Coturnix japonica: one gene and its partner. The protein of the gene in region 2 purifies or fractionates together with the protein of the main gene of each other region. This does not show direct contact. Links are inferred from orthologs where the notes say so. Each region holds a gene or a part of one and is shown on either strand. Other genes may lie near its edges.

Region 1 (5,090 bases), on a different chromosome or scaffold from region 2:
GATTGAGGAGCTCAACAGCTCGATCAAGTAGGGGGGCACGGAGCACAAGGTGTTGCCTGCTTGAAACATGCAGAGCCACCAAGCCCTGCGGCACACCGGGCTCCTCTTCTCACGTGGGGCAGCTGCCGTGTGCCCCAGGCTCCCACCCGTGGCCCCACAGAACTGTTTGTGCCTCACAGCCTGTGCCAGGAGCAGCTGCCAGCCACCGGGGTGCCCATCACGCGCCAGCGCTTCGACCAGATGCGCGGCATGTTTGACGACTACGTGCGCTCCTCCACGCTGCACAACTGGAAGTTCTGGATCGTATCCTTTGGGTCAGCACTGGATGCTCAGTGCCCCTTCCACCACACACCAGGTCCGCCCTCCCCTCCCAGCTGTGTGGGATCCCTGCTGCTCAAGACGTTCTGTGGGTGACACGTGAAGGGGACACGCTCAGATGCTTAGAAGAAACTTCTGTTACTAGAGAGCAGCAGGGTAGGAATAAACGGTCAGTCCTTGGGGAGCAGATTGAAGTGCCCAGACTGAGCTGGGCATTGCTACACGGGCAATTGCTCCCAATAACTTTGGAACTGGCGCTGAGATGCAGCAGCCATCGGTTAGAGGTTGGGAAAGGATCAGATGCAAACCCAGGAACATGATGGTTTCAGCTGGGTGTTTGTGTGCTGTGCTGTGCTGTGCGCTGTGAGCTATGAGCTGTGTGCTGTGCTGTGCTGTGTGCTGTGCTGTGTGCTATGGGCTGTGTGCTGTGCTGTGCTGTGAGCTATGAGCTCTGTGCTGTGCTGTGCTGTGAGCTATGAGCTCTGTGCTGTGCTATGGGCTGTGTGCTGTGCTGTGCTGTGAGCTATGAGCTCTGTGCTGTGCTGTGCGCTGTGAGCTGTGTGCTGTGTGCTGTGCTGTGCTGTGCTGTGTGCTGTGCTCTGTGCTGTGCTGTGCTGTGCTGTGTGCGCCCATCACAGCGCAGTGCAGGCAGGATCGCTGTTGGCCGCACACAGGGCACCGCGGCCACCGCCACGTTCGTCCTTAACCGCTCCAACAGTTCAGCGTCATCATCCGGCCCCTGTTCGAGTCCTTTAACAGCACGGTGTCCACCAGCAGCATGGACAGCCTCACGCAGACGTCCCTGGCCTGGCTGGAGCAGCACTGCTCCCTCCCCGCGCTCCGGCCGTGTACGTGGCGCCGCTCGGTCGGGGGGTGGGAGCAGCCGGCCCGGTCCGGTCCGTGACGTGCCCCGTGTCCCGCAGCGATCCTGGGCTCCCTGCGGCTCCTCAGCGTCTCCACGTCCATCCTCAGCGACCCCGCGCGTGTCCCCGAGCAGGCGGCGCGCGCTGCGGCCGGGAGCGGAAACACGTGACAACCGGGACGGGACGGCGGGAGGGAAGGAGGAAAGGGACACCGCAACAACAAGACGGCGCTCACGGGACCGGGCCGCGTCCGCACCATAAAGCAACACCATTAAACCGACACCATTAAAGCTGCGCCATAAACCGGCCCCGTTAAAGCTGCGCCATACGCCGGCCCCATTAAAGCCCTCATAAACCCGGCCCGGTACCGGCCGCGCCATTAACGCCCCCATAGAAACACGCCGCCGCAACTTCCGGCCACGCGCGGTCACGTGGGAGGGGGCGGGGCCAAACGAGAGGCGCGCCAGGAAGGGGCGGGGCGGGGCCGTGTGTCGGCGCATGCGCAGCGCGTGCCCCGCCCGGCCGTGAGCTGTCGGGCCATGGAGGCGGCGCTGGGGCTGGGGCTGCTCCTGCTCGTGGCCGCGCTGCTCGTGGCGGCTGCGCTGCGCCGGGCTGCACCGGGGAGAACGGCCACCGGTACGGCACGGGGTGACGGGAGAGTGGGTACAAGTGTGGGTTCGGCTGTGGGTACCGGTGTGGGTACGGCTGTGGGTACCGCTCCGTTTCCGCCCTGCCCGCGGTCGCTCCCCGCTGAGTCCCGCTCCCCGCAGGCCCCGCACTGACCGGCCCGGTGCTGACCGGCCCCGCCGCCTCCAGCCCCGACAGTCCCCGCAGGGCGAAGCCGCGGCCGCGCAGGGAGAAGCCGCAGCGTGAGCCCGGCTTCACGCACCGCCTGCTGGCCGCCGCGCTCAAGGTACCGGCCGCCCCCACGTCCCGCTGGAGCCCCCCGTCCCGTCCCATCCCGTCCCGTCCCGGCCCTGACGGCCGCTCCCCGCAGGGTCACGTTGGCGCTGTGAGCTGCCTGCACTTCAGCAGCAATGGGAAGCACTTGGCGTCCTGCGCCGACGATCGCACCGTGCGGCTCTGGAGCACACGCGACTTCACGGCGCGCGAGCACCGCAGCGTGCGGGGAAACGTGGAGCTGGACCACGCCGAGCTCGTCCGCTTCAGCCCCGACGGCAGGTGGGGCCGGAACCCCGTGTGGCACCGGCGGCGCGATGCGGGACGTCCCGCCTTAACGCGGGGCTCGGGGCGGTGTCACAACACCCGCGTTGCCGGCCGGTATAAGGGGGGTGCGGGAGCTGCGGGGGAGGCAGCTCGGTGCTGCTGAATTGCTTTGAGGGCAGAGGAAGGGACGGAGCTACCGCAGGGCAGGTACCGAGCCCTCATAAAACAACTGATGTGTCACCTCTCCCCCAGGTGCCCCACGGTGACCGGTAACTCACACACCGGAGCTGGGCCGACCACGGCAACCTGCTGCTTAACGGCTCGGTTCCCGTCCTTCCACTTAGGGCGCTCCTCGTCTGGCTGGCAAACGGAGAGACAATTCGTGTCTATAAAGTGACGAAGAAGGACGACGACAGCTTCACCTTCACACCATCCTCCGAGGATTTCCCAAAGAAGCACAAAGCTCCCGTCATTAACATGGGAGTCGCAGAGACAGGTGAGCTGCTCCCCTGCTGTGCCCCCACACCCACCTGGATTTCCTTTCTGAGCAACAGCCGCTGGGTTGAACATGTTGATAGTCCTTGACTTGATCAAGGCCTGCTCGATTCTGTGTTATTCTAGTTGTTGTGTCTTAGCCTTTGTTTACTATTGAGTAAGCTGGAAAACAATTTGAGGAGAGAAATCTCTAAGGAAGCTTAGAATTGCCTGATTTGCAGTGTCTTATTTTAGGCTCTCAGGGACACTGTTGTAAAGAGTCGTGGTCTCAGTATTGAGCATCACTGTTGTCTGGCTTGTTGCTCTTGCTTCAGCCAGTGAGAAATGGCTGCAGTCAGTTGACAGGTTCAGGAGCGTAGGCTGGCCCTTGGTATCTCCTAGAACAGCCTGAGAAGGGTGAATGTTGATGGCTGAGGCTTGGTGGATTCGTGCTTCAGCTGCGTGGCAGCGCACAGTTGGCAGCGGGTGGATGCACGTTCCACTCTGTAAGAGAAAAGTCCATGAATTTTTAACTGAGGTCTTTGTTTGGCTGCAGGAGTGAAAATTGAAACCCTGTAACAAGTAGCTTGAAGATAAATTTGAACTCAGTGTCCGTGCTGAGATGAAAAGTGAAAGCACAGCAAGTGGAAACAAGCAAATATCCAAAATGCGACGCCACCAGTAATCCAGGACAAACGTAGTGTGACTTCTAATCATCTACCAGTCTGTAATCCCTGACTTTGAAAGCTAGATACCTCTCCTGGTTAAAGCACAACCTGATAAAGTCTGCTGCATTGACTGAGCGTAGCACTGAGCTCTGCAAGTAGGATCTGAAAGGTGCCGGGTGGAAGCTCAGGGGGGCTCTGGGTTGGCAGCTGTGAGCTGCTGAGTCCTGACTGAACACTGGTACATACCCGGCCATGGGCCTGTTGGCACGGCTTTGTGCTCTGTGCCAGGAGAAAAGTGCTGCTGCTTTGGTGCTGCTTTTGGTTTCCTGACAGTTCTGATGCAGAGACAAGTTTCTCTGTTTAGGAACCATTACAGCTGTTGGTGACTATGGCAGCTTTAGGCCTAGGAATTCTCCTCATCTCTGCCTTTTTCTTCCTCCCCCCAGGGAAGTTTATCATGACAGCTTCCAGTGACACTACCATCCTGATCTGGAGCCCCAAGGGTGAAGTCCTTGCCAGCATTAACACTAACCAGATGAACAATGCCTATGCTACTGTATCACCCTGCGGGAGGTGAGGAACCTGCAGGTGTTTCAGGCTGCTGCTGCTGAGTGGGAAGCTCAGTGGTGCAGTGGCTGTGGAGCTGACCCTATAACCCAGCCACAGTGATACTTTGTAATAGACTATTTTATTTTGTTCAGGTTTGTGGCATCGTGTGGCTTTACTCCCGATGTGAAGGTTTGGGAAGTATGTTTTGGCAAGAAAGGTGACTTCCGGGAAGTGACCAGGGCTTTTGAGCTGAAAGGCCACACTGCTGGCGTGTATTCCTTCGCCTTCTCTAATGACTCGAGGCGGTAAGTGTGTTCTAACACTGCCTGAGGATACCCTGAGGATGTGTGTGCTCACACCTCCCAGTGTGCCTGAATTGCCCATCCATACTCAAACCTGTGCCCATCCCGGCCCCGGGTGCTCCCTGGGTGCCCAAGCACTGCTGTGGTCCGTCCTTATCCTCCTTGTGGGTTTCCTCCTGTTGGGTGACCATCCTCCTTGCTCTGGGAGGATGACGGCCCTATGTGTACACACGTATGCAGGCTCATGTTTTCCAAAACCAGTATCTGTCCACAAAGTAAAGGATTCCTGCTTTGTAGATGCGAAGAGGGAACAAGTAGGACCCACCTTCCTGGCAGTCACGTGTGGTTTATGTTTGCCTGTAGGATGGCTACCGTTTCCAAGGACGGGACGTGGAAGTTCTGGGACACGGATGTGGAGTACAAGAAGCAGCAGGACCCGTACCTGCTGCTGACGGGGAGCTGTGATGTGGCGGAGCCGTGCCGCATCGCGCTGTCCCCTGACGCTCACGTGGCGGCCATCTCCTGCGGCACCAACATCACCGTGTACAACACGCGCAGAGGGGAGGAGGAGGAGCGCTTCGTTGGTGTCCACACGCAGCACATCGCAGACCTGGCCTTCGACACCAGCGGCCGCTTCCTGGTGTCCTGCGGGGACCGTGCGATCCGTGTGTTCCACAACACGGCCGGGTACCGCGCGGTGCTGGAGGAGATGGAGGCGGCGCTGAGGAGAAGCAGCAGCAGAACCACAA
Region 2 (4,408 bases):
ATCTCCTTGAATATCTGTGTAATGGATGAAACTGGATCCCAGTGAAGAACGTTTGACCTATTGTGTGTTTTAAGAAGAATCAGAATTTGAAAGGAACTGTATGTAAGCATAAGACTTTCTAGGGAGGAGAAGTTGGATTTAACTGTTTTAAAAGCCAGAAACGAAATGTAAGGTCTGTCAGTGGTAATTGCTCTGTCTGCTTTAAAGGAGGGTGGCTATTCTGGTGTAGTCATCAGTTGTAGAAGGGCACACATACAGCCTCAGCTTTTCTTTTAGAACAGAATATAGTTGTCTGATCTGGAGAGAATGCTCAGTTCTGTATTTACTACGACATTCACTCTGGGGAAGGGCATAGAAATTTACAGCTTTACCTAGAATGCCGCTGTCTTGAAACAGTCACAATAACGTGCTTAGTCTTCAGCCACTGACTGACTATTAAGTATAAATCACTGTACTTGTTCATGCTATGCTTCATTTTGCATCTGTGTATGTTTTGCTAGAAGTAGTAGCTTATATTCTGCTGTCTCGTTTTAGGTATTTGGAAATAAGATGATAATTCCTTCCTTGGATGGAGACCTTTTCCAGTGGGATCGAGATCGAGAGAGCATGGAAGCAGTTCCTTTCACAGTTGAATCTCTTCTCGAGTCATCCTACAAACTGGGCGAGGATGTTGTCTTAGTTGGGGGGAAGTCTTTAACAAGCTACGGGCTGAGCTCCTACTCAGGGAAGGTAAGAGCCTTTAAAGTTGTCTTGTGTATCTCAAATTTGTGTGTCTTATGTTTCTAATACTAACGTGCAAGTAGATTGTTCTTAAGATTTAAGCTGCGCTGCAGTTCTGGAGTATGATTGCACAGCACCAAAGAGAAGAATCCAAATTTCTTGGGAAACAAATAAAACAGGCTGGAGTAAGACTTGGCAGCTGGTGCAGTTAAATGACACTGCTGGGAGCATCAGTGCAGTGTTGTCTAGTGTGTGAGCTTCTGCTCTCTCCCTTGTGCTGCCTCTGTCACTTGCCATTTGCTGAGCAGAATCAATTTGCTAACCTAAGAGAAAACTCTTTGCTTTTTATTGGATTACTTTTGTGCTGAGTTAGCAAATTCAGAGCAAGGGGAAGAAATGACCCCTTTCTGCCGAATTGGAAGATGAGTTCAGCTTTATTATGTGTCTCTGCCTGGAACAGCCTTCACAGTTCAGCTTACTGAACATCAAATAAAGTTTTAGGTGATACATTTTTCACACTTAAAGATTTAATTTTTTCTCGACTAGCAAAGAGTGTCTGGTTGAAAACAAGAAAAGCATTCAATGTACATGAACTTCTGAGTTTTGTTCTTGTTGCCATTAAGTTTACTCTACCTTAGAAATCCTCCTTAACTTTTAACCTCATGCAGAAGTTAAGTTGAAAACTACTTTCTATCTGAGTGGTTCAGAAAGTGTTTCTTTTTTTTTTCCTGAAATTTTCTGGTTGAATGTTGTATACTTCTAAAAAACAGAAGGGAAAAAAGGGATAAAATACAGGAATTGATTGCATTGAGTCCTAGACTTGACAACCTTTCCAGGGTTGAAAAGGACCACAATGATCATCCAGTTCTAACACCCTGCTATGTTCAGGGTCACCAGACCAGGCTGCCCAGAGCCACATCCAGCCTGGCCTTGAAAGCCTGCAGGGATGGGGCATCGACAGCCTAAATATTTTAATGTTTTTAAACCTTATTGTTTTTACAATGTTTTTAAACTTTAAACTTCCAGTGTTTGATTTTCAAACAAAAACCAACAAACTGCTTTTTCCACTTAGACCAGGTGTCCTCACGTAGAATGCTGTTGTGGTTTCTGTAATGATCGCTGATGACAAGGATGCAAAGAAATAGATTATGAAATCATTCAGATTTTCTCACTGATGGCAAAGGGCACTTGTACCAGCTGTTGAGGAAGTGGAAATTTCAGTTCCTGCTTTGATTCAGGCCCAGACTTGCAGTACCAAAGGTGCTGCACACAGGAAATACTGCTTTACACTTCCATGTTTAGAGTTTTGGCAGTGTGGAACAGGCTGCCCAGAGAGGTTGTGGATGCCCCATCCCTGGAGGTGTTCAAGGCCAGGGTGGATGGGGTCTGGTATTAAATGTGGAGGTTGGCGACCCTGCCTGTGGTGGGTGGTTGGAGATTCATGATCTTTGATGCCTCTTCCAACCCAGGCCATTCTGCATGATTCTGTGTGTTGCCTTTGGCTCTGTAATGTCCATTCACACTTCCTGAGAGTGTGTCCAACTTACTTTCAAAACACAAGTGGTTGTTTATATTCCAAATACTGTTTCAGAATTGGACTGTTGCAAAGTCTGTGTGACAGCATTAGTTGAGGTCCCCATCCCATCTTAATAGCTGAAAAGACTAAGTGAGATGGCTCTGTAGTATTTTATATAGATCAATAGTACTTAATTTGAAGTTAATAAAGTTATGCTGAGGCAGATATGGCACGAAAACAGAATTATAATATGAACCTACTTCTAGAAATTATCTTTATGTCAATAGACATCGTGGAAAAAGGAGGAACTATGATTTCTTTCTGTTAGAATAGAAAACCATGCAAAGAGTCAATAAGTCAGGGATGTTCCAGATTATGAATTCCTAGAACTTTTAGCAAAAGCAGTTCTCTTAAACTGTGCTTTTTAACATCCATAAACTTGAACATCTAAAATCATGGAATCATAGAATGGCCTTGGTTGAAAAGAGTCACAATGATCATCCAGTTCCAACCCCCTGCTGTGTGCAGGGTCACCATCCACCAGACCAGGCTGCCCAGAGCCACATCCAGCCTGGCCTTGAATGTATCCAGGGATGGGGCATCCACAGCCTCCTTGGGCAACCTGTTCCAGTGCATCACCATCCTCTGGGTGAAAAACTTCCTCCTAATACCTAACCTAAACCTGTTTCAGTTTAAAACCATTCCCCCTTGTCCTATCACTATCCACCTTTATAAACAATCATTCCCCCTCCTGTTGGATCTTGAGGTTATTCACATTTCCATGCTGTGAGTCTCTTGCCTTGTCCCTTAGGTGAAGTACATCTGCTCGGCTGTGGGCTGTCGCCGGTGGGATGATGATGAGGCAGAACAGGAGGACACTCTCCTTTTACGCCGAACTCAGAAAACAGTACGTGCTGTTGGACCACGCAGTGGTAATGAGAAGTGAGTATTATAGTTACAGAGGTTTTAATTTGTAACACTTTAAGAATTTGACCTTTTTACTCTCAGTAGGAAAGGAATTGTATGAGGGATTTGGGACTGTTAACCAAAGGAATGTCACGGACTTGTTATTTAGCTCCTAACTCTTCCGGTTTTGAATGTTTCTGAAAAAAAAAAAAAAGCTCTCTAATTTCAGTTTTAGACCATTGGAAAAAATACTTGTCCATATTTATTTCCTCTAAGTCAAATGATGGTGACTTTTCTTGTCCTTGTATACCTTGAAAGTCTGTCTCTACTGCACAAGGCAAGTGTCTCCATTGTTTGTTCCAGCTGATCACTTGGTATAGGAGGATATACTTTGAAAGCCTTCTGTGATATTTTTGATTCTCTTTATCTACTCACGGTAACTGTCCCTTATGTATACTTGATGCTTTAGCTTTCATTTTAAGTTGACAAAATATGAACGCATTAAGGCTGAATTTATTTCAAAAAGCCTCATTCTTACATCTCCTTTTGTTTCATGATGTTGCTGTTCTTTTCTAAACAAGCTGTAGAAATGCTTTGGTCTATGATTTCCCTCATGCTCTGGCTTTGAAGTTTTCAGTACACTGAGATTTCTGAAACAAAATAGCACACACCCAAAACAAACAGTAAAACCCAACCCAACAACAACTCAACCAACCAACCAACCAACCAATCACCTTGCTTAAAAACAAGTTTGCAAGGCTGGTTGCTATACTAAGATACAGTAACTGCCCAACAGTTCGGTGGAGAGCTGGTCATTCTGTGTTATCCTGCTCCCTCTTCCGTTTGCAGCAGGATTTGAGAGTGTGTGCCCGTAGTCTGTCAGAAAGAAGCTAATTAGAAGTTGAATAGATGAGCAAATAAGAAGTCTTAAAAGAGAAATCCTGATTCTTAGAGACTGATACTGCCAGAGAGAGTTGAAGGGCTTTAGGCTGTGCAAGACAGCTCTGTGTTCATTATACAGTCGTATTTGTTTCAGAGTGTGTAAACCTGTAACATGAGCCATCCTGGCTTCATTGAATTGCCTGTCACAGAGATTCTGTTACGTTTTCTGTGTGGGGTTAAATGAAACAAACAAAAAAGAAAGCACCATCCCTTCTCTTGCTTGAAAGCCTTGCATTTAAATTAAAATATTCTTTGTTACTGAAGTATGTCTTCTATAGAATGCTGCTTTCTAAATGCTTTATGCTTTTATCAACTATGTAGCAT

Evidence for each region. The genes of interacting proteins can lie anywhere in the genome.
Region 1: the proteins of EIF2AK3 (region 2) and TBL2 purify together in Homo sapiens (affinity purification with western blotting; 3 studies listed by BioGRID). This does not show direct contact. The link is inferred for Coturnix japonica from reciprocal best matches to the Homo sapiens genes EIF2AK3 and TBL2.

What each region holds. Positions count from the first base shown.
Region 1 is NC_029534.1:126,178-131,267, reverse strand, and holds the start of TBL2 (transducin beta-like protein 2), read left to right. Parts: upstream 1-1,681; 5' UTR 1,682-1,720; coding exon 1,721-1,817; intron 1,818-1,951; coding exon 1,952-2,094; intron 2,095-2,178; coding exon 2,179-2,363; intron 2,364-2,692; coding exon 2,693-2,844; intron 2,845-3,936; coding exon 3,937-4,063; intron 4,064-4,191; coding exon 4,192-4,344; intron 4,345-4,704; coding exon 4,705-5,090. Other genes in the region: MLXIPL (carbohydrate-responsive element-binding protein), read left to right, coding at 1-27, 180-303, 1,037-1,166, 1,242-1,351.
Region 2 is NC_029519.1:77,991,415-77,995,822, reverse strand, and holds part of EIF2AK3 (eukaryotic translation initiation factor 2-alpha kinase 3), read left to right. Parts: intron 1-534; coding exon 535-729; intron 730-3,047; coding exon 3,048-3,178; intron 3,179-4,408. UniProt on the Homo sapiens protein: Metabolic-stress sensing protein kinase that phosphorylates the alpha subunit of eukaryotic translation initiation factor 2 (EIF2S1/eIF-2-alpha) in response to various stress, such as unfolded protein response (UPR).